4 linked regions of the Drosophila melanogaster genome follow. The protein of the gene in region 2 purifies or fractionates together with the protein of the main gene of each other region. This does not show direct contact. Each region holds a gene or a part of one and is shown on either strand. Other genes may lie near its edges. The genes, in order: DppIII, dah, CG32536 and Rhp.

Region 1 (7,503 bases), on a different chromosome or scaffold from region 2:
CTTTCAATCGAGGTTTCCAATCGAGCAAAACAACGAACTGGCAGCACAGGCGACGGTCTGGCATCTTCGCTAGCCTAAATGATACACGTCACGTAGACACAACGGCGCTTAATTTTAAATAATTTATTTTTGGAAGCCAAAAATAAACTTGACCGTCTTAGAATTACAATTTGGAACTATGCCACTGACTAGGAATCGCCACCGCCCCGTGCCTGAGCGTCAATTAGGCAGAAATGCTCCCTATCCGTAGACTTAAGGACATGCTTTGGTAGATATCGAAGCACGGAGGAAGGAACCTGGCTCAACATGGCCAAACGCTCCTGTTTGATGCGTTCCTCTTGCTCGGCATCGATCTTGGCCTTCATGTCAAAGTACTGAACATTTTCAGCGGTGGCCTCCGCCCGCTTCCGGTGATTATCCTCAATCATAGCAAGCAAGGAGGCTCCATGGGCCCGGCGTCTGCGATATTCATCCAGTTGCTTTTCGGAATTCTGGTTGATTGTATCCGGCGCCTCCTCCTGCCGCGTAGCCATCTCCGCCCGCTTCATCTGCATTTCGGCCATCTTACGATGCTTCACCTCCTGTCGATAGCGATCCAACTCCTGTCTGGTGCGCTGGCGAGACATCTGCTCCTGCTGCATCTGTTGGCGATAGCGCTCGTCACTCTTGGCCGTGTACTCCGCCTCCAACAGATCCAGCAGCAGATTGTCGCGATGCCGTTTTTTGTTCTGCAATAAGAGTTAGCTTTATTGATTGAATCGAAAAACCGCTTCAAGACTTACTTCGATTTCTAGGACTTGCTGGCCCAAACGAATGCTGATTTCTTGTTTTTTGCGTTGAATCTCCTGGCGTTCAGCCTCCAGCTGGAGTTTCCTGCGCTCCATGTCACTTTGCTTCTGGACTAAGTCACTCAACTCCTGGTTGTATTGAGCTCGCTGCCATTCTCTGAGTTCCTGGTTCTCCTTGATGGACCGCAGCATGTCCTGTCGCTTTTGTAGTTTTTTTCTCTGCGCCTCCAGCTCCTGGGCTCGATCCTCTTCCTGGATTTGCTTCTGCATCAGAAGGCTCAGCTCCCGGTCATTCATCACCTGAGCGTGCTCTTGCAGGCGCCGTCGGCGGTTCTCCTCCATTTGTTCAGCCAAGGACTCCCTAAGGCGGCGTTGTTCCTCCTTAAGAGCCACTTCCTTCTCACGTTGCCTGACCTCCAGCAGACAGCGCTCTTGGGACACTTCCGCGGCTTCCAATTTGATGTCTAGCTGTCGACGACGTTTTTTCTCCTCCAAATTCTCGGCTATATCCCTGGAAATGGCGGCTAGGCGCAGCTGCTCCGCCAAGTCGCGCAGTTCCTCGCAATCCCGCCGCAATTGCTGGCGACGTTTCCTCTCCACAAACTCCGCACGCTTAAGATCTTGCATTTCCTGCGTCATCGCTGCCTCCTCGATGAAGTCGCGGGTTATGGGACTCACTTTGGAAAGCTCCTGGCTGCGGCTCACCTCCTCCAGGTCGTACTGCAATTTTCGGAACAGCTGTGAGCTGAAAAAGTCGTGCTCCTTGCGCAATGAATGAGGCACCTGGAATAGCGGCTGTCCGATGTTGATAGTGCCACCTTCCTTGTGGTTACCACGATTTCTACCGGTTGCCATGGTGGTCAAAACAATGCAAACAGAAATGGAAACGAGAAACAAAATAAAAAAAAAAAAACCAATATTTATCGACTGGCTACTATGAAAACATTCAATGAACAAATTGTAGTATTTGATTTTATATTTACATTCTTAATTGTGGAGCTATTATGAGCAATATACATTTGGTCGCAATATATGTATGTACATACAAGCAATTAAATTCAGGTCCTTTGTCAATATTTTCGGTGAATGGCAAAAACGATCTTAAAATCACCATTCACTACGAAAGTTTTACTATAAAAGCAATTTAAAATTTAAAATTGTTGGTCATTAGATGACTATATATATTTTTATATATTTTTTTTCAAAATCATAGTTAACAAATTGAATTGATAATGAAGGCGAAAATGTTAAATGCGAAATGTTCTCAGTTGTTGAAGGCAGTCGGGAAATACTTCTTGTCCTTCTCCACGATGCTCTCCAGAAGATCGTCGATGTCAGTGTTGGGGTAGCGCTCCACCCATGACTGGATGTACCCCTCGTGGGTGGGCTCGTAGGTCTTCAGCTGGACCTTTTGGTCCTGGCCGATCGCCGTGTTGGCCTGGACGAGAATCATACGCGGCTTCTTGTGCGCCAGGCAGATATCCCGCCACTTGGCCCACGGATGCGATCCGCTCTCGTCGACCTTCGAGTAGTGTTCGTACATCTTGGAAGCTGCCTCGATGTCGGCGGTGGATTTGTACACCTGCAGCTTGGTCAGGAAATCGCCCAGCGCCTTCCTGCCCACGGTATCGATCTTGCTGCGATCCACCGTCAGCAAAAGGTTTTTACCCTTTTCGGTTTCCTCGACCTTAACGAGTCCTTCGCCTGCCTCCAGCAGCACCTTCATGATCACGAAACGAGCGCGAGAGTGCGCCTGGAGCCACAGCTTGGACTTCGGGTTGAACATTTCCAGAGCCACACCCATGCCGTTCCAGATGAGACTCAGCCAGTTGACATAGATGATGTTGTCCTGCTCGGCTTTGTCCTTGAAGCCAAAGATCTCCAGGATGTCACGCTGCAGGGAGAGATACAAGCCCACCGCCTCGGCGCGGCATTCCTCGTACGAGGAACCAATTGCTCCGAACTTGGTGTCGTAAGTTTCTCCAGGAAGATACCACTTGGTGATGGGTTCACCGGTGACCAGGTTCTTAGTGTTCTCCTTGTCAAAGTTGTACACACCATTTTCGTCGATGCGGAATAGCTTGCCACTACCATGGCCTAGGAGTTCATGGAGGCCCACTTGCACCTCAAAAGCCTTCACCTTGTACTCTTTCATCAGAGTTTGATCCTCCTCGGTGAGGAAAGGAATGGGATCCTTGCGGTTGATGTTGGCCAGCACATTGCCCAGCGAGACGTTCTTGAAGCCTTCATCCTGGCGGATTTCGTCGTAATTGGGAATATTGATGCCCGCTGGTACTCCGCTGCCGGCAAATGTGAGGACATCCAGGGATGTGAAGTCTGGCTTCAGGTAAGAGTCCTTCTCGTAAGGCTCCGTCCAGGGCAGGTACTCTATTAGTTTCTCGGCGCGGTTCACCAGCTCGGAGAATTTGGCCGAGCTCTCCTTGTTCACCATGGCCACGAAGCCCTCGAATTCAGCCCGACCTCCAGCAGGATCCCTGTATGTCTCAATGAAACCAATGTAGGTCTCGATGACAGGTCCCTTGTCCTTGATCCACCAACGCGATCCGTTCTTGTGCTCGTCCAGCGAGCCCTGTTCAAAGGATCGGACATAGTGCTCGATCATCTTGGACTCGTTTTCATTGGCTGCGTATTTCTGGGCCTGCAGCAGATGCTGGTTGACGCGCTGAAGCAGCTTCTGGTAATCACCGCGTGTCACCCTAAACTTGTTGCCATTATACTCTTCCAGCGGAAGTGTGATGCCGTCCTGCGTGGACTCCGCCACGGAGCCCAGCTTTACATCGTAGACGGTTTGACCATTTTCAACTATCTTGAAGGTCCGGCACATGTACGGTTCGATACGCTTTGAGGTCAGCCAAGCGTTCACGATCTCGGAGTCCTCCTTGGTGCAGTTATCCGACCAGTAGGTGGTGATTCCGTCGGGAGCAAAGCCCAGGATCTCGTTACGCGACTCGAGCGCATAAATCAGATTCTTGACCTTCTCGAAGATCTTGCCTACGCGCGGCTCATCGCTGTAAGCAGCGGATGCCTTTACTATAGTCTCAAATTGCTTTTCTGAGAGATTGGGAACGATCTTGCTGTCGCCCATACCCTTGTAGTTGCCCGCGTTGGCGAACACACCGCAGGCGTACACTAGGAAGGCCTGAAAGTGATCAAAATTAATATTTATTTTCGAGAATATGAAACTCTCCTCTGCCATACCGTAAAATCATCAGCAGACACTCCCGCCTCCAGGGCTTTCGCCCTAAGAACAGGAATCTTTTCGGCTAGGAAAATGCGGTGCAGCAGGGAGAAGATGAGCGGCGCCTCCGGACTGGACTGGATCAAGGCAATGAGTCCGCCGTCCCAGGAGGCCTGGCTGAAGTGGTGGGCGTAGAGCTTCTCCTTCTCGGTGAGATTCTCGAAGGCACTCTTGCAGTCCAAATCGGCAATGGGCTGCGTGTTAGGCAGGACGAAGTGCGCGGTTTTACTGGCCATCTCAGCGGGTTGGGGAAGGTTGGTGCTGCAGCTGCAAAGATATCATATGGCGAACCGGACCGATTATATACATGGGCTTTAGATAACACCTGGCAAATACCTGTAACGAACGAGGGAGCTACAAAATCCCAAACTTCTGGAGATTGACGGTTGGACTGAGCGAATACTGGGACTGGTCCCGTAATTTAGACGACTACGGAAATGACACAGCCTGTTCAGTTGCTGCCGGGATCTCTGTAGCCCTCTTAGCCAAAACATTACTGGGAATTTTTTGAGAGTATTCTATTTGAAGACTTTACATTACTTGTCGCCCAACTGGAAAATGTGAAAAGGCTACTTTAATTTGGATGAAAAGCCAAATAACTCGGGGAACACATGAAAACTTGATAATGCAATTTTATCTCCAGCAAGCCGGCTAAACTGCAGATGTGGCAGTTAAGCGGCGTTTTACCACAAGAATATAGAAAACAAAACTATGGCTAAAATGGAGCCCGAAAACGTGAAGAACTGGCAGAGCCCAAGGAAAATGTGAATGTTTAAGAACTACGTGGTTAGTCAATCGCAAAACAAACAAAAACCCACCGGGCATTCGTGTTTTAAGTGGAAAAGATAATCAATAAGTAATTTCGTGCGTACTTACCTTTAAAAAGTGAGAAAATATGCAGTTAAGAAATGCCGACAAAAGTGCAAGTTGTTCAAGCAGTGTGACCAGCTGCTTTGTGAGTCGATATAACACCACATATGTGTTATATGATATGTGAATGGCAAAATATTGGCGGCATAATTTAAAAACTCCAATGAACACTTTGAAGTAAAGCACATTATTATTATTATATAATTGATTTTCCGTATTTGAACTACCTATGTACAGAAACGTTACTAGTTAACTAATGTATGTGTCGTTACAATTGGTATTTGCATTCGTGTACAGAGTATTTGTGTTTTGTGGGCTTGCTTGCATGATCTCTGTTGATTTTAGGCAATGATATAGCCAAGCCACAACCATACATCGCCACCTATGCCGAGGAAGCAGAGCACCCAGGTGAGTCTGTATAATATGTTATCCATACTGCCGCCTTTTAGAAAAATCGGCAAATCATTGTCCGCCTGAAATTGCTTCCTCAATTTGACCATTTTTGGAGGAACTTTTCCAGGACGTGTCTTCGGAGCTGCAGCTGCAGCAGCAGCATATTTCAAAGCAGCCGAGTTGCGAAATTCACGAATGGGCTTACAAACTGCACCCACATCACCGACTCCCCGAAGGAAGGGCTGATCGGAAAGAACGAATTAAATTAATGTTTTGTATGGAATGGTGGTAACTTACGCGCAAAGAGAAACAGTTTCTTTGCATTTACGTTTCCTGAAACTTTCTGGAGTATTCGGAACAAAATTTTGTCTGCCTTTAACTATCGAATAATGTTTAAGTGACACTATTACTATAAGCCATCTTTGATGGATTTAAGATTTCTGGAAGGGTTTCACACAGAGCCTAGGCTCCGATTTTTATATGGAGTAATTTATTTTTCAATTTAAATAGGTAAAAACAACCACTTTCATTTCAAAGTACATATGTCTGTGTGCCACTCTTCTTCTTTTAATGCCAAATTAGGTCACACTATTCGCTCTCTAGTGAATTTTGGTGTCAATATTAAGCAATGCTCTTATTTATTGATTAACCAAAATGTCTATGGCTAAATACCTAAACCGATCCGTTGGAAAAGCTGGCAAGGATGTGGCCGCCAGGATATGCACCCTTAAACCCACTGAGCCGGAACACCATTCTATACACCTGACCGCTGGGGAGAATTTCGTGGGACGCAGCCGGGAGACCGGCATCCGAGATTCCAAGTGCTCGAAGCGACAGATTCAACTGCAAGTGGACCTAAAAAAGGCTGTAGTTTCACTTAAAGTCCTGGGAGTTAATCCCTGCGGCGTCAATGGTCTGATGCTTATGCAGAACGGGGAACGCGAGCTGAAGCACGGAGACTTGGTGGAGATCGTTTACGGCAGGCATCAGTTCGAGGTCGTCTTTAACCCTCCACCGGAGTATGACAAGGAGAAAGCTGAGCCGTTGTCCACAACACTATCACCGTCAGAGAAATCCGAGAGGTGGGACTCATCTGGCAATGGTAAGCTGGTTATCTTTACCAGCGTCGGCGTTAAAGGTTCTGAAAAGATAGCTGGCTACGACATGGACGGCACCATTATAAAAACAAAATCGGGACTGGTGTTCCCCAAAAACACCGACGACTGGCAGATCATATTTCCCGAAGTGCCGGAGAAACTAAAGAATCTCCACAAGGATGGGTTTAAAATCTGTCTCTTCACCAACCAAGGAGGCATTGCTCGTGGAAAAATCAACCTAGATGACTTTAAGGTCAAGATCAAGCATATTGTGGCTAAACTGGGAGTTCCAATTCAAGTATTTATAGCCATAGGTGATGGATTTTATCGCAAACCTTTGACGGGAATGTGGCAGCACTTAAAGAGTGAAATGAATGATGGCGTTGAGATTCAGGAAGATCGATGTTTCTTCGTCGGCGATGCAGCCGGAAGACCGGAGACGGGCAAGGGAGCCACCAAGCGGCGCAAAGATCACTCTTTAGTAGACAGACTTTTTGCAGCCAACGTGGGAATTTCATTCTACACTCCAGAGGTTCATTTCCTGGGCAAACAAGTGGAGCAGTGGAATAAGCCGGACTTTGAACCCACTAGCGTTCAGGACCAAGTATCTCTGCTTGATCCGGATGACTTGACCCTCGATGACCACCCCTGCGAAATGGTCATCATGGTGGGTCTGCCAGGATCCGGAAAGAGCCACTTTTGTTCCAGCTTTTTTCAACCGCGGGGCTACAAAATCGTCAATGCAGATACATTGGGTAGCACTCAAAACTGCCTGACTGCCTGTAAACGGTTCCTGGACTCGGGCCAATCATGTGTGGTGGATAACACCAATGTGGATGCAGCTTCTCGAAAAAAATTCTTGCAGTTGGCCAGCGAAAAGATGATTCCATGCCGCTGCCTTGTGATGAATGTGCCCGTCGCCCAAGTGAAGCACAATATAGCTTTCCGAGAGCTATCAGACTCCGCGCGCACCAAGATCAAGGACATGGTATTTAACATGATGAAGAAAAAGTACCAGGAACCCGCCCTAGACGAAGGATTTATATCCATACACAAGGTGAACTTTAAGCCCAATTTTGCGGACGAAAAGCAGGAA
Region 2 (7,282 bases):
CTTCCGCATCCATGCTGCCGTTTGTCCAGGAGAATGTGCCGGAGATGCTGCTCCAGCCGGCCCGGTTGGCCTTCTGCGCCAATCTTCACGTGGGCCGACCGCGGGATGACCCCACTACATTGGTTTTAGCGAGAAACCTAAAGTTCTACGAATTCCGGCGCAAGGATCTGGTGCACTACATCGATTTGAAGGTCACGAAACTAAAGCAAATAGCCACCCAACTGGAGGCCTACGACGGACCGGTTTGTCCCTTTCTGTCCAAGCAGGAACCCACTGACGAAAAGGTGGACTGGAGCATGCTGGATCCGCCGGAGGATTTGCCCCTCAAATTTGGAAAGTTTGTGTGGCAACGGGAGGGCATCTACCTGTTAATTCAGTGCTGGAAGCATCTCGTCGTCCTAAAGAGGCCCAAGGATCACGGGGCCAACTTCGAACTGGTGGCGGATCACAAGGATGTGGTGGACTACCAGATGGTCGAAGGTCCCATTTCCTTCCAGGCCGTTGTGGAACTGGAGTTCGGCAATGGCAAGCGTCAGCGTTGTGATTTCCAGGAGGATTTCTTAAATGAGGAGCCCAGCACGTCCAAAAATGCGGGCTTGCCCGCGAAGGATTTCGAGAACCTGCTGCAGGAGGTGCACCGCGCCCAAGCCGAGCTCGACAGCCAGCGAATGCAAAACCAGAAGGAATTAGCCCACGTCCAAGACCTTCTATACTTCGGCACGCCGGGCCAGCGTTCGCTGCTCCTTGAGGAGAAGCAGCCGCTCCGACGACTCGGCGATGTATGGACTCGGATCTGCGGCGATTATTTTGTTTGTGGCACTCTGCTAGTCAACATAACTGGCACCAATCGCCTCACCATAGTCAAGGAGTTGTATCCGATTGTTGTAATCGAACCACACACCGACTTTAGCGTGGAGCACCGCCTGTACGAGCTGCCTCTGCAGGCGGATGGCCAACCACCCGAGGACTACGACCAGCTGGCGCAGTTTTGGGCCTGCCAGGATCAGCATAGCAGGCGTCTCAAATGGCGACCGGTGGAGAAGGAAAGAATACTACCGCCGGAACGATCTGCCGCGATGGTAGTGAGCCTGCGTCTGGTCGATCTTCTTGAGGCAGAGAAACTCATATTGATGGCAACGTACGAGATGGGCGAGGATGCATCCCCTAGGCAAATCCATCTCATTACCTTCGATGTGAAGAAACTGCTCGATAAAACAGAATCGTTGGCACCCACATTTTCGCCCGCCACGCTGCACCAAGACTTTTTGGCCGTTATTATGACGCACACGGCACGTTGCTCCCTGAAATTGGAGTTCCAGTCGGCCCAGGATTGCACGACATTCGAGCAGCTACTCGTCTCCACGCTGCAGTTTCAGTTGATCCAAGCCCAGGAAGCAAACAAGGAGCCGAGTGAGTAGCTTTGTCAAGACCACTTGTTGTCCCTTTTAACTCATAATCCCTTACAGCTTCCGACTTGCTGGACGACAGTGAGCCTGGGTCTCACTTTCAGTCTTCCAACATCGCCGCCGATCCTGTCCAGCGTATTTTCTACAATCGCCAGCCGCAGTCACAGTGGTGTGACACCTTGCTGCTTCGCGACGATCCCGGAAAGCATTGGCATGTGTACGCCAGAACGGACGATCGATTGCGTCTGCTACTGCATCGCCTGACGCGCGATCTCCTCCAGCTGCACTGCAACCTCAATGTGCTAGAGGTCGCTGAGCACAACATGTCGCCTGCCGACATGGAGATGGAGTTGCTAAACAGTCTGTTCGAGGAGATGGACGCCTGGAAGGTTTTGAGTGAGCCGGCAGCCAGTGTGGAGCAGCGCCGGGAGCAGCTGACGCAGCTCCACAAGGCACAAATGGCCAGCGATGTGTTGGCTTCTATGCTATTCACCGATGATGATGATGACAATGGGGCGTAAATGCGTTTTTTTTTTCTTCTCTTTGCATTGGAAAATCTACAAAGTTGATATTTTGTATGTAAATGCTTTGTTAACAATGTGTTTTTTGCATTGTATATTTTTATAAAAACATTTTGTTGTATTGCATTCTTGTCAGAGTTGTAAGTTTACAAATTAAAGCATTTACGCGAATGTTAAAGCACATGGGAAAAGGAAGAAGGATATAATAAATGCATGACTCGGTTGTGTCATTTTGTCACGATTACTTTAGAACAACTTTACAACTTAAAGCTAAGTGGACTTGGTCTGGCTGGAATCGATGGGAGTTGGTATCCGATCCGGATCCTCACGTGCTGATGCGCCGCTGCTGCTCCTCGCTCTTGATGATGCTATCGAGAACGTTCTCCAGATTTTGCGTGGCCGCCGACAGTTCGGCATTATCGCTGTACGAGTCCTCGACGATCTCCTTGACCTTGTGCAGCAGCAGCTTAAAGTTCACCATCTCGGTGTCGCGGCCATCTCCGCCGTTTGCCGGCTGCTGTTCCAGTAGAGCACCCAGCGGCATGGGCAGCGGCAGAGGAGCCGGCAGGGAACCAGGTCCTTGTCCTGGCTGGACACTCGAGCGACGCTGGTCGAACCACAAGCTTATGTCGTTGAGCGAGTAATCCGATTTGTTTGCCTCCAGATAGCTGCGATTCAAGTCGGCGCCATTTACTACAAGAAACGATTAACTTAGTGGAGCTGTCTCATGGCTCTGTTGAAGGTTCTCTTCTTACTGGAGTGCGTGAGATTGGCACCCACGGGCGCATACATGTCGAATAGCATCTGTCGCTGAGGCGTGCTGGAGCTAAGGAACGTGGAGCTGACTAGGGGCGCAGCTGAAGGCGCCACTTGGGCAGCTGGCGCAGGTGGCGGCGAAGTTACCGCTGAGGCATGCTGCAAGTGTATATAAATGGAGTTAGCTCAGCTTAAATGGGCCGAATGTTTGGAAAACTCACTGATAGCTGTCGCATATCCTCGATAATCTGCAGCAGAAAGCACTGATGGGCGCTCAGAAACTGCGATATTTCCGAACTAGATGCGGTGGCCACTGTTTGCAGCTGGGTTTCCAGCTTCCTGAAATGCAAGAGAACCTTAAGGCTTGGCTAACAAGTGTGGCGAAAGAAGGGAAAACACCCACGCATTTTGCAAAAGCAATCGATCGATGATGGACTGCAGCCTGCTGGACGCCTCGCTGGCTAGACCCGTCAGGGAGCAGAGCTCCTGCTGCTGTTGCTGCAGGACAACTGTGCGGTCCTTCTCCTGGCACTGACTGCGCACACTGCGCGTCTCTGCGGGAATGGGCGTGGCAGCGGATTGACCCAAGGCGGGCCCACTCTCCTGCGCATTACAGAAGCCGCGACGCTCCTCCTCCTGTGTTTTGCGCGGCATCACCAGCCAGCCGCACAGCCTGGCCAGGTGGCGGGTCCAACGCAATGGCGGCTGATCCTCCACGAAGACCTCGCACATCCGATGACCCGGCTCGTGGCGACCACCAGCGAAGCCCACTGCAAAGCAGGGCAGGCACAACGATATATCCCTACACACCTGACACCGGAAACGTATGCCCACAATGTGCTCCTTGCGGCAGCCGGCACAAGAATTACTGTGAATCAAATGCTCGGTGTCCTCGATGCGTTTCACCAGTGCCAGCAGATTGCCATAGATCAGGAATCTCGTCTGGACACCCGCTCCCGTCCAGAGTTTGTGGAACTGCGGCTCGGTCAGTCCACCAACGCCATGCGGACAGCGGGCAAAGCACTGCTCCATAGCCAACGGAAGATTGTGGACGCCATAGGCCTTGGCCTCGCCCAAATAGCTGAGTAACTTGCTCAGCGTGGCTAGGAGCTGTTCGAATGCATATCTGGAGATGATCTGCGACTTGGGATCGGCCAGCAGGCCAAAGATGTCGCCCACCAGGTGATCGCTGCTATATAGCTTGCACAGCAGTATGAAGGTGATCCTGATCTCTAACAGGGATATGGAGTGTCTGCGTTGCCTAGCGAAACCAATCAAATATCAGACATATTCTTAAGATGCCAGAAACTCAACCCACGGATCGTAGACATTCCAGAAGAAGTTGGCCAACAGCCCGGTTGCCCTGTCCAGTTTATAGTTCGCATCCTGGTTGAAATGGCCTAGTTTCTCGCAGGCAAAGTATACATCGTGCAGCAGGGAGGTCAACTGGAATGGAGGAACCATCAGTTCCAGGCCACCACTCAAGTTATGGCGATCCAAAATGGCCAAAACCAGCTTGTAGGGGATTTTTCCAGCTGCAATTTGAAGGTTAATCCTTGGGGACTCCTTCGAATGGACCACCTACGCGACTGACTCACTGTGAAATATCTTTTGCAGCGCCACAAATTTACTGGCGCACCGGTATACCGTGTACTTGTAATTCCCGTAATCCCGCTGCAAGTCATCCATGATGGTGGATAGCTCTTTGTCCACCTGTTGCTTTTGTCCTTGGCCACCTTGGGATCCCTTTTCGCGGGCAATGGACGCCACGGCCTCGGCGCTATTTCGCAGTTTTGTCAGCTGCACGGGCACCGACGATCTCAGCATTTTGTCAGGCGTTTATTGTTATATATTTCCCTTGATTCTCGAATTAATTTCAGTCTCTTTTAAACGCGTCGTTTCTCGCGATCTCTTCCTCTTCCGTTAGCGCAAAAGTCAAATTGTGTGGCGTGAGGTGGCAACGCCGCGCGTGTTATCGATATCACTTCGCCGAACCGTTAGCGCTTTAAATTTGATTCAAAATTATTATTATCATTAATTAAGTCATCCGTTCGTTCTAAGAATATTTGACCATGATATAATAATTGGTAAATAAGTTTGAGCAACGGGAAATGTAAACTGAACAACTTGGGTTCACCATAGTATTTTCCCAATTTCAAAAACAAAACAAAGTTATTTAAAAACCCTTCTTTTGAATGCGAATAATTACCCAAAACGAGGAAATGGAAAGAGTGTCACATAGATTTTAAAATTAAATATATATTTTATGTATATTTGCATCATTCCATTGCAATTACATTCACTTATGCTATTTTGTTTTTCATTTACTTTGCTTTCGATTTAAAATAGTGGGTTTCTTATCATTTCGCTTGTTGTTTTTTGTTTGCTTATATCAATATTATAATATGCCAAGTTTATATGTGAGTGTTGTGGCGGGGCGGGGCGGGGCTGGGCGTTCGAAGAAGGGTTCGTAATTAGTTTATTTAACTTTTTTTTTTGCCTTTTAAAAGCATTCTCCCGCTTCCGTATGCGAATCCACGACAAACGCACACAGATGTTTGCGTTCACATTATATCAATCACTAATTATAATATGTGTTTGGGCGTGTGTGTGTGTGTGTTTATATGTATGTATATAAAGATCGTTCGCTCTTCATTTGCAATGCGCGTTTGCCATTTATGCTAGGGGGGGCGTGAGGCGAGATATAAATTTCCATCGATTTGCTTAGTTAAAAGTACGGCCATAATCGTAGCTGATGGGATTGGGGCACATGGATGTTGGGGATGTTCCTAACTCCACCTGAATCCACTGCTCTCGTCGACTGAAGGATTCAAGTGAAGGCTCGATTTTTACAAGGTTTAAGGTATAGTTTTAGCTCACTTAATTGCACATACTTCTATAGATTCTATATGTATAAAGTTCCTTTCTTTCAGATTAAAGTTCTTTCTTTCGCTGCGACTGGTTTGCTGGCTGTGTTTCTGTTTTGGTTCATCGAGTTATTTGAATTGCTCGTTTGATTTGTATCTGCAATTGGTTTTCAGTGTGATGGCGGCTTGGTTTGCGGTTGAGAACTTGAAACCTGTCTGCTTAGAGTATAGAAAGTTAAGGGTCTGTCTGCAAATCAATTTAGCATTTGTATATTTCGAAATGTTAACTAAAATGATCATAAGGTACGAAATCAAAGCGAAACCACATCGAGATCCATCCAATGTGGCTTTGTTCTTCATTTTCGGGGGCGGTCGGTCGACAAATAGCGCTGCTTCAGAGTTGAATTGAATAAATTATGCTATGCTAAAAGTTGGGCTACAAGGTTTCTCTGTTCAGTTTGCACTTATACAAATTATTATTATTATTATGATAGATAGAATAGTTTACAAAACTAGACTAACTTAGATAGTATAGCATTAGCTACGGGGCTTACAGCTATATTTATTTACAATGTTATTATATCTTAATTTAGTTAATATCTAATTTGGTAACTAATTGCTGGCTTGTTATGTACAAATGCCTGTTTTTGTTTTTGTTTTTTGTTTTCGCTAAACAAAATCAACTATAGGTAAACATAAAAAAAATTGCGTTTTAAATTGTATAATTTTCGTTTGCTTTTGCTATTAAATATATATATATATATATAGATATATATATACATCTATATTTTTATATATATATATATATCTATATATATATATTTATGTAAATGTATGTATTATATTAAAAATAAAAATATATACACAAATATTATTATATACATAAATATAAATATATATATGTATATATGTTTTATATGTAAAATTATGAAGTATAAGGGTATCTTGACAAAAAAGTTCTTTTGTAGAGACATAGAAAATTATGCTCCTGATTTGTTTTTAGGTGGCGGCGACGTCTTGCCCAGGTTTCACATCTCCTCTTGCCTTTAATGAATAAAACTGACATATATTGGATTAGCTTGTGTTTGGGTGTGCACATTTCGCAAGTTAGACTTCGGCGTAGTATGCACTTGATCCCATTAATCCCATTCAAAGCAGACAAAACGGACGCGTACAAGCGGTTCCACGACTACGATGTAGTGCAGCATTCCGTCCCGCTCATTTTGGCTAACAATCCCCCATTGCGTTGGCCGAAAGCTGGACATATGCACTATCAATTGCATAAACTGTGGACCAAACAATGGCGGGATTGGCATGGAATCTATTTATAAACCGGCCTTGTGGTGGGTGTGGTTTGTTGTTACATCTTCTTCGATCGGGTGCGAGTGTGTGTTTGTGTGTGTGTCTGAAGGGGTGGTGGTGGGTGGAGGAAGGGTCGGCGTACTTGTGTGTTTGTGTCTAGGCGTGGCTGTGAGGAGAACCCATTTAGAAACGATAATTCTCATCGGCCATATGAACGGCCCACAGAAATTTGGTTCTTTGCGTTTTGTTGAATATCTTCTCAATCGGCACGTCATGCTTTTTACACCTGCAAATGGATGATATATATATATATATTAGTTCTCGTTGAGTGGAATGTGCTGCTTGAAGGGAGAGACCACTCACCAAGCCACCGATATGCGTGGATCAAGATAGTTTAGCTTAGATGTGCCCAGGGCAATGGTCTTATTCT
Region 3 (6,189 bases), 3.9 Mb from region 2:
TGCGAATGAAAACACGATTTTTATTGCACTTTAGCCGGTCCGCGCCGACGCGTAATCTTCACCAGCCGCCGGCGACGCTGGCGTGGCACTGGGAGCTCCGTTGTCCCGCCGGCCGGCTGCTCCGACCGCGGCCCCTGCTGATCCGTGCCCTGGGCATAGCTGTAGCTAATGGTGCGCTTGTAGATGCGCTGCTCCTGCTCCGACTGCTGCGACTGCTGGGAACGCGGCTTACGTTTGTGAACGGAGCTGGACGGATGACGGGTGGAGGAGGCCTTCGTCTTTCGGGTCTTGGCCTTGCGGGCCTGCACATCGTAGCAGCGTTCGATCTTCTGGCCCTTGCTGTCCTTGCACTCGTAGCAGACGCTGTTCTTCTGCTGGCGGCGCACGCACAGGCTGCTGGGCGCCACCGGCTCGGCCTGCTCCTGATCCGCCTTCTGTGCGGGATCGTCGCGGTAACGCTTGTACTGGCTGCCGCTGCCATAGGCGTACTGCTGCGGTTGGTCGTCGTGCGAGTAGCTGCACGTTTCGGACACCTCGTTGTTCTTCAACTGGCGACAGATCTCGCACAGCTGGCCATCCTTCCGTTTGACCTGCCGGCAGCGCTGATCCCTGACATTGGTGGCCTCCGCCTGGGTCTCCTCCTCCTCCTCCTCCACCAGGCCTTCGCCTTCGTCGTGGTCATCGTCGTCGGCAGCCCGATCGAAGTACTCCTTGACGAACTGCTCGTAGTTGCGCTCGTAGTTGTCCTCGCCGGAGTAGCCCTCGTGGCTGGTCTCCGCACTAAGGCTGTCCACATCGTCAACGGCCGCCGCCTCTGCATCCGTCTCAACATCCACGTCCACGTCCTCATCCACCTTGGCCTGCGCTTCGTTGGCTGGCAGGATGGGCTGCATCAACTGCGGCAGTTTGACCACCTTCGATTGGTCCACATCCGTGACGGTGAGAGCGTCCAGGCGCTGGAGCAGCTTGCCGGGCGCAAAGGCCTCCCAGTAGTTGACGCTTCGGTCGTAGCTGTCCGCCAGGGAGACGGCCAAGCCGAGTAGCAGCAGCTCCGGCAACAGCATCGCATAGAAATCTGCGACTTCCGTCGCCTGCCGTCGCTTTTATGGACTCGACACTCGGCCTGACTCGACTGCACGCCACTTCACTTCACTGCAGATGGAAGCGGGTCCAATGGAGCGCGTCCAAACCGCAGAGCCATCAGGAAGTGTGGCCCAACTGATCCGCGAGGAGGGAAGTGCGAGTGAAAGGCAAGATTTATTTCGTGTAGCCAATCAACTAAATCGAACAAAAGAAAGGGGAAACAGAATGCAGGTGGTCGGTTGTGGAATGGTCAGAGTGGGTGAGGCTGGTGAGGTTGGTGAGGTTGGCTAGGGGCTGGTGCAGCTACAACTACGCCGCTCGCTGTCCGGCGGTCAGTCGCTGAGCGCCCACAGTGGGCGGGGCCGGGCGGACGGGCGGCTGTCGCTGATGGCGCAACTCACGACGCTTCTCACGCAGAATGTGCTTGGTCTGGGAGGTGTCCAGCTCCTCCCAGCCGCCGGCATTATCATCCACCCAGTCCTCGAGATCGGCCTGCCGAGTAAGAAACATTAGTTCGTTTCATGCATTCCATTCGGGCTATAACTGGCTCACATTTACGCTAATTGGCACCAAGTCCTGGGCCTGCAGTCTTGAAAAGTCACTTTGTTGGCTGGTCGCCGCACTCGTGGATGGATCCTCCAGGTAGAACTTCATCTGCGGCTTGATGGTGGGCGTCAGCTCCTAAAAGAAGGTTACATTTTAGCCAAATCGTTGAGGATATGAAACACAGATATTATAAATACTTATATATTCTATATATAGTCATATAAAGAATATATGCATTGTGATTCACAATTTTTTTATTTGCTTGTTTTTACTTTTGTAGGTATTAACTAACTTATTTAGCTGGATGGTTCTTCATGTTTTTTATTTTTTACTTAAATCAATGCCTGTTGCGTAGAAATAATATGGAGTTTTTGTTCATAAAACAGATACCTCAATATGAACAATTAGCAAACTAAAAACGGCTGTTCATTAACAAATATTATTCAGCGTTGTAAGCACTCACTTTTTAGTTTACTATGCAAGTTTTCTATATTTTATAGCTTTAAAAATCATAGGATAAATATTTTGACATTTGCATTTGTCAAATCTGCAAGTATCTATTAACAAATAATGCGTTTAAGTACACTCTTTAAGTATTCCTGGTTCAAATGTTGTGGACTCATAAAATCATATTTTTGAAATTTCTAAAAAACTATTGAAATATTAACAAATTATCACAGTAATAAGCTAAATATTCATATTTTTTAAGTAAACCTTTTAAATATTCCACAAATATTTAGTTAAACACAACTAGAAATTAAGCGTAATTTGAAATAAATGGTTGTGAATAGTTTCGAAAATGATTTCTTTCTAGATTTTTATACCTGTCGTTTTCTATGGCTGCTAATCTTTATGACGTGATTATGGCCCACATACAAACTTGTGCAGTTGATAGGGTATAGGGTAAACACGCCGAAGTCACCTAGATACGTGTACAGGTGGGGATGTCGCCATTTAGCCCCAACATAGCCCACTATCCCACCATCAGCGAGCGTGAATATCCCTACAATTGGGCTACGACTATGGGCCGTGCAAGCGGCGCAATCTGCGTAATCCGCGCCCATTGCCTGAGTACCAACTCACACTGAAGAAGTCCGGTTCGGGTTCCTCCTTGGGCGGAGTGGGTGGCTGGGCCATTCGCTGGCGGTACTGCTCGATGTGCTCCTCCACGGTGCGCGGACTGTCGTCCCAGGAGTTCCAGTCCCGCTCGCGCGCCCCCGCTGTCCTGCCACCGCCGGCCTGGCCAGCGGAGGTGGCGCCGGTGGCGGAGAAGTCGCCTCGCTCCACGATCACGTTGACCGCTTGCAGTTGGTCGGCGGATCCGGTGGCGGAGCCGCTGTGGCTGAGCTTGCGGCGCCTGGAGAAGCAGCACAAGGCACGCCGGCACAGCGTGATGATGCCCAGCACCAGCATCTTGATTTGCTGCAGCATTGTCACCTGGTTAACTATCCTATTCTATATTATTTACTAAATTTCAGTTTCTTGGACCCCGTTAGTGTGACCGCCACGTGGACAGCGGCGAATACCAAATGGTTGTACTAAGCTACCGACTTCTCTATTTGTAAATACCGAAAACTGTGACATTACCGTTAAGTATTAAACAGTTTAACTGTGATTTTTGAATTTATGTTTTTTCCTTTTTTGAAAAATACTGTATCACATTCATTTTTCCAAGCTATTATATTAAATATTAAATATATATGTTTCATTATCAAATTTCCATTTTAAGAACAAGCTGTTTTTTTCTTTATCGCAAATGATACTTTTGACAATTTAATTTCCCATCTAAAAACATGTTTTGGTTTTATTTGCTTAATACTTCTCGTAATTGTACCTAAATTACCTCAATAATTCACGATATGTTTTGTTAAAAAAAAAGGAAGGGGGGGGGGGGGTGGTAGAGTTTTTTTTATTGGACCATTGCACTACGTCCCTGGTTATCAACATCCTCGTGATCAACGTTGTTGCGTTCGATTTTGTTACGCCTCCGAAACTTGACGATCAGCACTTCGAGGACCCAAGGAGCGGCGCACAGGATCATGAAGCCGTTTAGGATGTGAAAGACGAAAATGTAATCCCTGGTCTTGTCCCGAATAAACCCAACAATGGGACCGATGAGGAACATGGCATTGCCTTGGATGAACATGAAAAGGCCATAGCCAGTGGCGAACCTTAAACGAGATGGAAATATATGAGGAATATATATTATAATTTTGTGATAAATGCTATAAGCTTGCCAAAAGAACCCACCTTTCCTTGGGCAAGTAGTCGGCAAAGACCAGAGGCAGTGGAACGTGGAGCCAGGTGCGCAGAAATCCAATGACCGCCGTGATGCAGGCCATGCCCACAAACTGTGTGATTCCGTTGAAGGCTGTGGGAAAATGAGTGAGATTAGTGGGAGGAAGGGAGTTCTTGGAGCCCAAGGAAGGGTTCGCCTACCGAATCTCGCAAAGACGGTGAAAACGGCTCCGGCCAAATAAATGTATCTCGAAGGAACCTGGATGCACACGGCGGTGATGGCCAGGAAAATACGAGATGCCAAGTCTGCGGCCGCTCCAATGGCGATAATGGTGGCCGTGTCGGGCTGAAAAAAAACAATATTATTTATGGGATGTAGAAGTTACTGAAAGAACTGGAAATAACCTGGTAATCGCAATAATCAGACTGGGAAAACCACTTAGAAATCGTTTATATATTCTTACGGTAAGCTTATGTTATTTTTATGTTTTTCTTTTACAAGGTTTTTAATTTTTTTTTTTTAATCTGTAAAATACTGTTTCCGATTAGCCGTTTTTTAACGGCGAAAGCGGACAAAGTGAATTCGAATAATTCAAAATGGCGTCGCGTTCGTTTCTGCCTTTTTTTGTGAACGTTTTTTATTCTTTTAAGTTGCTTCTAAATCTCATATAACTTAATTTTTGTTATCGATTTCAGATTTATCAGTTGCTTATATGATCGCTCAAAGTGTTAAGTTTGGTGTGCGTTAAAAGTTAGTAATTATTATTGAAACTGCGTTTTCGCAAGTAAATTTTGGCATTTTGTGATACCTAAAAGAAATCTATTTGTATATAATTCACAAGAACAAAAATTCAATTAAATCAGCAACGGGTGTCGGGTTCCGCGACTATTAGATACCCCTTACTTTGCAAGATATGATTATATGCAAGCATCGTAGATATTGCTTGGCAAGTAGTAAACTGCTTGACAAGCAGCAAGTCGACTGCTTTAGAGATTGTTCAAGGTGACTTTAGATATACGATCTATACCACGTGATATAATTTCAATTCAGTTTGAACTGGTTTCTCAAAGAAATTTTGAATAAGGTTATCAAGATTAGGGATATGATTAGGGATACGAAAAGTAAAAAGTACATATGGAAAGATTGCGAAAATTTATGTTAATTACACATAAATATGGTGTCTATTCTACTTTGCTAACATATATGCATACAATTTTTATGTAATTTTTCAATCAACCCACCACATCTACATTTCTTTCAATAGAGCTAGCAAGTTTAGTGTAAACTACGGTAAGCCTACTGCTCCAGCCCTTAACTGTGGATATTGTGGTAATGACTCACCCTGCTGTATCCCAGCTCAAATAGGTAGACTGGCTGCATGGTGAAGAAGGTGATGTCGGAGTAGAGGGCAAAGGTGATGCCCAGCACGATGTTAACGAAAATGGGCTTCTTCAGCAGCGTGAGATCGAGGAAGTCGACGATGGTGCGCACCCAGCTCTTTTTGGTAGCGTGGGCTGGAGCTACTGCACCTGATGCACCGGCAATCGTGCTCGGACGCCGTGAGGTCTGCAGGCTGTGCATCATCTGGGGCGAGGCGTCACTGACCACCACGGGTCCGGACCAATTGCCCAGGCTGGTGATGCTCGAGGCCCGACTGGACAGAACCTTCAGCATTTGCTCCTCGGCGTGGGAGAGCTTTCGCGCTCCTGGATCAGCGGTATGAAAGTTGGGCTCCTCTCTGGTAGCCTTAAGCGGTGTTTCCGGCTGCACTCTAATCACCACCGTTGGGCTCAACTCCTTGAGTTCCTCCTGCTCCTCGGGCTGGATGGGCACGCGACGCATGTGCCACTCCACTGGGTGCATGACCAGCATCCCGAACACCGCATGAGCATTCAGTCCCGTGAGGATGAGCAGGCAACCGCGGAAGCCGTACCATGACATCAACTTCTGCATGACAATCGGATATAGCATGGAGCCCAAGCCAATCAGTGTCTGGGCAAAGCTCATCCACATCACGCGGTTCTTGACAAAATAATGGTTGAATGTCGTATAGCAGGTGGGCACCATCAGCCCGAAGGCGAATCCCTGAACGACGCTAAAGGCCATGATCAGGTGTAGCGTGGAGGTGGCGAACAACTGCATTCCAGTGCCCAGGAAGTACAAGATGCCGCCAGTGACGCCCACCTGCCGCATTCCAAAGCGCTGGAACAGGGAGCCGGAGAACAGGCCGGCGAAGCTCATCGACGAGAAGAAGGCACTCGTTATGATGGCCATGGCACTCGTCTCCGCTCCAATGCTCTTCAGGAACTCGCCGAAGACCA
Region 4 (8,994 bases), 460 kb from region 2:
TGGAGACTATCTATCTGGTGGCAATAAGGCCGATCTGAAGGGTGGCTATCCATTCGGCGGCACCGATACGGACACAAAAGCCAACGAAAAGGACAAGGAGAAGGAACATACCGCAGACGACTCACTCTACGAGTGCAACATATGCCTGGACACCGCCAAGGATGCTGTGGTCAGCATGTGCGGCCATCTGTTCTGCTGGCCGTGCCTGCATCAGTGGCTCCTGACGCGTCCCAATCGCAAACTCTGTCCCGTTTGTAAGGCTGCCGTTGATAAGGATAAGGTCATACCGCTGTACGGAAGAAATAGTACACACCAGGAAGATCCACGGTAGGTTTGAACCGCTTTCAACATGAGTATTTTTCAATAACCCAACTTATATGTGTTTTGCAGTAACAAAGTTCCACCACGCCCCGCTGGACAACGTACAGAACCAGATCCTGTTCCCGGGTTCCCTGGATTCGGATTCGGCGACGGATTTCACATGTCTTTCGGTATTGGAGCTTTTCCTTTCGGGTTCATAACATCTACGCTCAACTTTGGCGAACCACGTCCACCTGGTAGGTTACATGCCATCTCAATAGTTCTGAGATTGATATTAAATAACATTTGCCCATGTATTTAGCTGCTAATCGGGGAACAAGGCAATACGAGGATGAACAGACCCTGTCCAAGCTGTTTTCGTATTTGGCCGTTGTGTGGATATTGTGGCTGTTCTATGCATAGCAATCTGCGAACGCATAAAGACATCACCCCGATAAGAAGAACCTATGTTCAAATGTGTATGGAAAGCGTGCGAAGTAATCATATAGCAGTATCCTCCAGTTAAATCAACAATATTCTTAAACTCGTTGGGCAATAGTCGTTGGTGTGATTAATTAACATAAATTGTTAGCATTCGGTTATAATTGTAATTTGAGGATTCGCAAAACAGAAGTGGATTGGATCCCAAACTATTTCAAAAAGTCCGCGATACCCTACGACTCCAGCATAAAAAACTGAAATTTCGAAATCATTGGATCGTAATGATTTAATTCAAATGTAGATGTCAAAAATTGTATAAATATATATTTTAAATTCGATAAAACATTAAAAACATTTATTTCAATTCATTTTCCGTGTAGATTATTATCGATGGGTGATTGGGAGCGATTGAATCAATAGGAATAAAATAAATTATGGGTATAATAGAGGGGCTTTTAAAAAATCATTAAGTTTATTGCTTAACTTAAACTGCACAACATTCTTTTTAACTTGAAATGGCCATTGCCTTAAGAGCAAAAAAATAAAACACAAAATAAAACTGATGGCTACTTAAAATATTTTAGCTAAGCTAGGCGTTCGCCGAAACGGATTCCACGAACTGGATGAAACGCTGCCAGCGGGTCGCGAACTAGAGGATGTTTTCAGGTGGAGCTTGGGCTTGGCCGCAATACTTGTGGGACTGGGAAATCCGGATGAAATGCCCGATGAACTGGCCGCCGATAGCGTTGATAATGAGCCCTTCGACGACAATGGCTGTGCGTAAACAAGGTGAATTTGTTTGCTGATTTTTTACGTATGATTAATAAACAAAATGCACCTTCAAGTAGTTGCGATCCATGGGCGTTATCACTCTCAGCTCGAGTGTAGAGCCGCAGGATTGTATGAGCTGCACCACCTGCTGATGGGAGTACCACTTCACGTCCACGCCGGCTATCTCGACTATGAAGTCTCCCTCCTTGATGCCGCCAAGCTGAAAATAATGCCTACAGTATACGACGAATCGATGGAAGTAGCATTTACTTACGTCTGCCAAAGAATTAATCTCAACGTGGGCAATGATCACCGGAGCATCGCCGCGCACATGGAAGCCAAAGTTCTCAAACTCCTCCTTGTACAGATTGTATCCACCATCGTGCTCCTCGTCATCATCGTTATCCAATGGGCACTTGTTGTCATTGCTGGGCACGCTGTGATACAGGGAGGAACCTTTCTGGAGACGCACACATCTGGGCGCTGTCCAGTGGCGTCTCGCCGAGAATATTGCAATCGGGCCGAGGCGCTTGAAGGGATCCTTAACCTTGTGCGATGTGAAGTCGGGTCCGGTCAGGGATAACGTGAACTTCGAAGATGCTGAGGATATGGATGCATGTATGTACATGAAGACATCGGCTTATCTTGAGTATGATATATGTACCTTCTACCGATCGCTCTAGAAGATCGCCATCTTCGATATTTTTGGCTGAAGCTTGCAGTCTGAACTTCTCGAGCTCCTCCTGCGATTTGGAGTGCACCTCCTTCATGACTTCAGTCAGTGATGCCTTGTTCTTAAAGATTAAAGTTAAAGGTTAGGTTATTAGGCTATAGGATATAAGAAGTATATTTACCTTCAAGAACCGACACATCCGCTGCAATCGCTGGGCTTCCTCGATACTGGCCAGCGCCTCCTTTAAGTGGGCCAGTTTGTTGGCAATGGAGGTGGACGCCTCATCGCTGGCTCCATAATCGGCTGTGGTGATGCGCTCCACCTCCTGGGAATTGCCGATGAAGGATTCTTGGTTCTTTTGACTTGACTTTGATGCCTTCAGCTCGTCTGTCGCATCTATGCTCCGTGCCTTGTAGAAATGTGCGAATGCTGTTGGCGTTTACAATCATACTTTAGAATGAATATTCCCATTTCGAGGTGATAACCAATTCTACCTTTGTAGAGTTCCGCCTTGACTGGCACTAGACCGGCCCAGCATTCCGGAAGATAGGTGTGCGTATCGTTCGCCTGGATATTCTTGTGCATCTCATTGTACTCGTGCGATATTTGAGCAGCCTCGCCAGCCAGATCCCGAAACGCCTGGCAATCGTGCTGTATGGTTATATAGATGGTAAAATTATGTAACTACATACTATATACTATATACTATATACTATATATGCTGACGGAAACTCACGCTCATCGCCTCGATCTGCAGCTGAAGCTTCTCAAAGAGGCATTCTCGTGCCTGGGAAAGCATCAGGGAAACGAGCACGTCCAGGACCTGTGGCTTCAGGTCCATCGATGGTGCATTCGTGAACGTATCGTAGATGTGACGAAAGACCCCGGCGGCCCGTAAAAAACTATCCACGGCCAAGTCAAGACCCCGTTCCGTCGTGCGATCGTGTCGAGCGCCGATCTGTGTATATATGCCGCCCAGATTGAACAGGGTGCAGGCTTTCTCGAACGCGATGGTCCGCTGGCACGAGGGAACTCCCGTGAGCGAGTCGTACCACTCGAAGTACACGCCCAGGTTACGATCCGGCGGAAAGAAGCGACGCTCCACGTAATACAGCGTGTTGTAGTAGCGGAAAAGTAGGGCCACTCCCAGGGCATCTCGTGACGGTGTTTTGGATGCCTATTAGAAATTTTTCGCATTGGATTATATGTGCATAAAATTCTTATATATGTACGAGGCATTACCTGTCTCGTGTCCGTCATATCAGCTATGGCATCTATGTACATCGAGGGCTCCTCGCTGTAGTGTTCCAGGATGAAGTCGGAGAAGGGTTCCATGAAATTGATCTCCTTGGTTTCCTTCAGGCCCAGCGGTATCATGGGCATAATTCCATTGTGACTAGAGAGTATTAGAGGATTATTATTATAATACCATCAAAGGAATGCCTTGTAACTGCCTGCTTCCTTGAAAGTTAGACCTTGTGGTGGGTCTTCCCACCCAGTTTCTTATCCTAGGAGCGGGCTTATTAGCTCACCTTTCGCTCTGATAGATTTCCACCGACGAATTCAACTCGGCCAGTTGCTCCTTCAGCAGTTGCAGATTTGAGTTGACAAAGCTTAATTCCAAGGCAACTGTGTCGCGCAGTTTGCGATTCGATGTGGCCTAAATATATATATATATATATATATATATATATATATATACATAAAGATATGCATTTAGTTTTGGCATGGACATACATATGTATGTTCAGAGTGATAACGGAAGGTAAGGTAACGCACCTTATATAGATTCTCGGCACCAGCTCGAAGGCGGAGTTCCTTATTTATTTCTTTGTTTAATTTGCATCGCCTGTTTTGGAGTTTGCTACGACAAGTGGCAGCTCGTGGATCTGAACCCTGGAAACAGGATGCTATATGATTATATCGATTGTATCTAAATATATATATATATATATAAATATATATATATATAGATACGAATTTAAATCTATATTGTGGAGATATTTGGCGGATTCCTGAACGTCATTAGCCATGATAGCGATCCCTTAAAGTTATGACTCAGTGTTCAAAATCAAATATTCCATAACAAAGCTTTTGGGTGATACAATCATTTATGGCGTTTTAGGTGATAACAATTGCAATGGAAAATAATAATACTTTTACAATATACATGAATAATACCACTTGACATTTTTCGAATCGCTAAGTGCGCAAAAACATAAATAAATAAGATTGCTATTCTACACTTACCCGAACAAAACAAAAGGATAACTCATTGAGCTTCTCGTCATCCTCGTTCTCCTCGTTTTTCACCACCCTCGTCGACAATTCGTGTTCCTTTTCATCCATGGTTCAAAGATCCGAAATCCGAAATGATTATGATCCAAAAGGACTGCCAATAAACACTGGATTACTTTTCAATTTGTGGGTAAATGATGAAATAATAACAATACAACCTCCCCCCCCCCCCACCGAACTATTCACCACACCGCATATAGAGAGTTCTATAATAGACTTCCGACCTTCAAGACAAGACCAAGATCATGAAAATCCATGCAGCACTTGTTGTCGCGTTATGAATGGTGTAACTAACTATTATAACACGAGCTGCTCGTTTTTCGTATGTATGCACAACATGAGTAGCTAAAGATAGAACCGCATTTCTTCTTCTTTTTTAGCTTTAGGAGGTCAAACTCATCAATCGCCTTAACGGTTTTCGATTCGAGCGAGCCATTTAAGCAGCGCCAAACATCAACATATTATAACCGTCATGGCACTGCTCCAGGGCAAACTCAACTTGAGATATCGTGAATAAACACATTGGATTGCAATGGCATTATTTAATAGAACATTAGAGACTTACAAAGTGTCCGAATATTAAAGGGTTTGAGCATAAACGAAGACTTAAACATGTCAAGATCATAAAAGTCAGTTCATATCTATAAAAAGTGTGTGCCAAGAACTGGAATTCTGGGACACCGAGATATGACGCTTGTGATCGAACTGTATTTCTGGGACAGGCCGCTCGAAAACAATAGGAATTAACTGCCATTCGGTTGTTTTGTCGTTAATTCTCTTTTTGTTTCAACTAAACTATACACACATGCAAGCACGTCGGTTGGCTGGAGATTTCGATGTTGATTTCACGTATTCATGAGATCGCAGAATGCAAAGCATAAATACAGTGTTTTATCGGATTGCTCGCGATCGGAGGGGGAGGAATAGACATAGATATGGATATATATATATATATATACACATAGACATAGATATAGATGTAGACAAATATGTGGTTGGCCACTGGTTTCACTATTTTACACTGGCATTCCAGAGAGTCCATGGCATATATTTATGATAATCCGTGCTTGTTCCACATCATCAGTAGCATACTTTTGTACTACTGGTATGTTATGGCATAATTATTATACACATATTTACACGCCTTACAACTTTATAAGCTCGATGGACTCGACAAAAAAAGAAGCAAATAACCGAGAAATACACTTGTTTGCCCACAAATGCTCACCGTATCCACATACTCCACGATCAATATTCAAGATTTTTCAGCACTTGCCCAACGGAATTTCGACTCAATATCAGTTGGGTTCGACTTGTCTGCACTACACTTTCCACTATTACCAAAAAAAAAAGAAATATATATGCAACAGGTTACTGCTCTACCTTTTTGGACAACCGAAGCGCCAGATACGAGTTTCCGAACCACCGTAAAGTCTCAAACTGGTTATTTACTCGAGCCTAACTATTCAGATCCAGTGTGACCGTCGCACGGCCGTTATAACATACCATACGGTTAGCTGGGACGTTACCGAAATAACCAACAAGTGGTAACTTTTTCAGCAATCCTAACTTTGATGTAGTGGACTATAAAGCTATTATCGTAAATGTAAAACTACTATAATAAATGGGATAATAAAATAATCAAGTAATTAATTAATGCATACATATTACCAGACTAAGTAAGAGTTTGAAGTGTACTTATATGGAATATCATATAAACCTTAGTGCACTATTATGTTCAAACAATATATGATTTGGTAAAAAGATTTAAACTACACTATAGCATTATAAACCTTTTTTACGTTCGAAAAATATGGTTCTGGTGCAGTGTAACCGCATTTTACCCACTTTTTGAGATAACTTCGGTATGTTTGCAGTGCTGATAAATGAAATAAACAATGGAATCTAGAATAAATATGTGCTGCATAAACAATTAAATAATGATAAGAAGCATTGCATTGGCAAGTTTTAGCATCATCAGCACTAATAATTGGCAAAATTCCAGGTATTTGTATAATCATATCTATTTGAAAGAATTTAAGATAAAAAAGACTAGCTTATAAATTTACAGAAGTGTTTAACCACAAGCATAACAAAGTTAATAAATATATATACTTTGTATGGCATAGAATTTAAATTGAAATTTAACAAAATATTTATATTAAAAATCATTAACATACTGACAAAAGTTTGCGGAAAATTGAGTTAATCAAAGTTTAAAGAAACTTTGTACACCGTTTCGTTGCTCCGAATCTGCAATCCAGTATTTCACATTAAAAATTCAGCATTTTTAACAAGTGTAACCTTAGGAAGTGTTTTATATTTATTCATTTAAGGGTAGTACGTCTTCTTGAACCTGTTCTTATTCTTAGGGACGTCTGGTCGGACCGCACGTGGAACATACTCCTTGTCATGTGTGTCCAGCGTTCGCTGCCAAGGATTGATGTCCAGCTCGAAGAAGCGTCTCTTAGCCTCCATGGCACGATTGTTGTTATCGATCTTGTATAGCTTCTCCCACAGGTAGATTTCGGGCAGCTCCAAGTGTCGCGGTCGGTTTGATGCCAAATATTTGAAGGTCTTATTGATAAAGTCACGCTGTTCGGCGTTCTCATAGGCGGAAACGTCGGAGGCAACATACGGCTGCTGCTCCCCAATGCTCCGCTGAATCGATGGCGCATTGGCATAGAAATTGAGCAGGTGCCGCAGTGCGTTATCGTTGAAATCAACGCACTTGCCGCTTGCCGAAATCTCGGCGTACAGTGGAAGTGGCTTTGTACCGCGACAGAAGTTGACACGGGGATTTTCCGCCACGTTTGTGCCGTGCAGCAGCAGCGTATTAAGCTGATACTCATAAAAGCTCCATTCCCTGCCGTTCGTGATCACAGTTTGAGTGTTCATGGGATAGGTCAGTTCGTTGTAGGTGTTGAAGCCATTGTAGTTCGCCTGGGCCAAAAGCCAGGCGTATGACGATTTAATCGCCAGCGAATGCAATGCCTCCAGCTGATCCTGCTCGCCGAACGATTTCGGACGGATCTGCAGGTGTGCACGCGATTGAAATGAGAGCAGGCCGAAGTTATTCTCATTTCCTTTGGGCCAATAGCCTGGCACATTGGTGGCGTGCTGATGCTTGGTGCTGTAGCCGAGGGTTCGCGGGTCGTGCTTGAAACGGGGCAGCTGTTTGCTCAGCTCGAGGTTTTCGCTTTCCGCTTCCGTTTTCCACGGCGTCAATTGCTTGCGATGGCGTAGGGCAAGATACGGCGCTCCCGTATACTGAACCATCCGATCAACGCTCTCGTTTGCCATATCCTTTTGCCATTCCCGGCCCTTCTTCGATTTCTGCACGTTCTTGGGAGGATCTACGCCGCCAACGGCCCAGAACGCTTCGTGGCGTGGATTGTAGTCGACATCGAGCTCATCCAGGTGCTTGTACTCCTCGCTGAGCGACTGCAGCAGAGCTCTGTTCAGCTGTTCTACAATGATCTGCGTTAGGATGCGCTCACGTTCAACGGGGTTCGATTCGGCAGAGTTGTGTTGCTTTTCCAGATGCCTACGCTTGGTAATGGAGGAGAATGAATACATTAATATCAGACGGTCGAACTTGTAACTGGGACCACTCCAACCAATCCGAGTTCTTAAGTGAGTTGGACCAACTACTGTCCACAAACTCGCCGGAGAACTTGGTTCGTTGAAAGCGGACCTCGTTGTACCCACTTGTAGTAGTCGTGGGCAAACTCGAGGGCATCAATAACATCCCCGCGAGCCGCCTTGAAAAGACCATCCACGCTCGGCTGCTCCTGCTCCTGCTCGGAGTCCTTAGCCTGTGCCTTCTTATCCGTTTCAGATGGCAAATCCTCGAGCACTGTGCGCGTATAATGTTGCGTGAGCGGCAGTGCATTGTAGGGGATTTTCGAGTCGTTGAAGTCGACCACCTTGAAGCCGTAATAGCGGGGCATATTGATCTTGATCATCTTCTCCTCCACCGTCGGCACCTGCCGGATTTCCTCGTGCCAGTTGGCCGCATCCTTCTGCTTGCGCGCCTTGAAGGACAGATCCTGAATCTCCGGATATGCCGGCTCTGCGTCCGTACTATTCAGCTGCAGCTGCGACTGGCCGGACAAACAGCGCTTGTACGTCGTTCGCAGATGGCGAACACGGTTAAGCTTCAACATGCCGTCGAACCTAACGCAAGTTACGATTTATGTTTTCGAAGGAATAGAATTGACTTCAGTTTTTTGACAATAACTAGGTTATGTCATTGCTGCAGTGTGACCGCACGCTGGATTCAGAATAGGTTGCGCCAAGGTAGCGACGGAAAGTTTTGCGATGCCAGTGAAAGTAATGGTATAATTTCTATTTATGCAGTTCAATAATAATTCATAATGAATCATAGTCCTTTACTATTTAACGTGTAGGGGTACAAAATTTAACTTGCTTATGTTTCAAATCTTTTTATTTCTGAAATCAGTTATAAATCATCGTAATATTTTTTAAGCTGTCTAGAAAAAGCTAAA

Evidence for each region.
Region 1: the proteins of dah (region 2) and DppIII purify together in Drosophila melanogaster (affinity purification with mass spectrometry, with the first as the bait; one large-scale study listed by BioGRID). This does not show direct contact.
Region 3: the proteins of dah (region 2) and CG32536 purify together in Drosophila melanogaster (affinity purification with mass spectrometry, with the first as the bait; one large-scale study listed by BioGRID). This does not show direct contact.
Region 4: the proteins of dah (region 2) and Rhp purify together in Drosophila melanogaster (affinity purification with mass spectrometry, with the first as the bait; one large-scale study listed by BioGRID). This does not show direct contact.

What each region holds. Positions count from the first base shown.
Region 1 is NT_033777.3:8,341,904-8,349,406, reverse strand, and holds DppIII (dipeptidyl aminopeptidase III), read right to left. Parts: upstream 5,008-7,503; 5' UTR 4,924-5,007; intron 4,599-4,923; 5' UTR 4,542-4,598; coding exon 4,384-4,541; intron 4,315-4,383; coding exon 4,008-4,314; intron 3,949-4,007; coding exon 2,053-3,948; 3' UTR 1,942-2,052; downstream 1-1,941. Other genes in the region: CG7352 (uncharacterized protein), read right to left, coding at 189-728, 783-1,643; COX7AL (cytochrome c oxidase subunit 7A-like), read right to left, coding at 5,259-5,552, 5,608-5,634; PNKP (polynucleotide kinase 3'-phosphatase), read left to right, coding at 5,965-7,503. UniProt on the Drosophila melanogaster protein: Degrades neuropeptide proctolin (RYLPT) by cleavage between Tyr and Leu residues.
Region 2 is NC_004354.4:15,325,672-15,332,953, reverse strand, and holds dah (discontinuous actin hexagon), read right to left. Parts: upstream 4,613-7,282; 5' UTR 4,511-4,612; coding exon 4,282-4,510; intron 4,219-4,281; coding exon 4,002-4,218; intron 3,945-4,001; coding exon 3,087-3,944; intron 3,023-3,086; coding exon 2,905-3,022; intron 2,843-2,904; coding exon 2,683-2,842; intron 2,621-2,682; coding exon 2,253-2,620; 3' UTR 1,952-2,252; downstream 1-1,951. Other genes in the region: CG9114 (uncharacterized protein), read left to right, coding at 12-1,410, 1,467-1,927; Top1 (topoisomerase 1), read right to left, coding at 7,036-7,138, 7,216-7,282.
Region 3 is NC_004354.4:19,273,765-19,279,953, forward strand, and holds CG32536 (uncharacterized protein), read right to left. Parts: upstream 3,135-6,189; 5' UTR 3,061-3,134; coding exon 2,713-3,060; exon of another isoform or gene 2,454-2,712; intron 1,765-2,453; coding exon 1,636-1,764; intron 1,576-1,635; coding exon 1,393-1,575; 3' UTR 1,240-1,392; downstream 1-1,239. Other genes in the region: CG32537 (uncharacterized protein), read right to left, coding at 21-1,064; CG8028 (uncharacterized protein), read right to left, coding at 3,539-3,800, 3,880-4,000, 4,069-4,213, 5,210-6,189.
Region 4 is NC_004354.4:15,785,830-15,794,823, reverse strand, and holds Rhp (rhophilin), read right to left. Parts: upstream 5,928-8,994; 5' UTR 5,712-5,927; intron 4,578-5,711; 5' UTR 4,535-4,577; coding exon 4,436-4,534; intron 4,082-4,435; coding exon 3,965-4,081; intron 3,846-3,964; coding exon 3,718-3,845; intron 3,582-3,717; coding exon 3,428-3,581; intron 3,363-3,427; coding exon 2,922-3,362; intron 2,837-2,921; coding exon 2,680-2,836; intron 2,615-2,679; coding exon 2,367-2,614; intron 2,307-2,366; coding exon 2,177-2,306; intron 2,113-2,176; coding exon 1,787-2,112; intron 1,733-1,786; coding exon 1,580-1,732; intron 1,516-1,579; coding exon 1,312-1,515; 3' UTR 1,192-1,311; downstream 1-1,191. Other genes in the region: sordd1 (suppression of retinal degeneration disease 1 upon overexpression 1), read left to right, coding at 1-327, 391-557, 623-723; mRpS30 (mitochondrial ribosomal protein S30), read right to left, coding at 6,815-8,030, 8,195-8,652.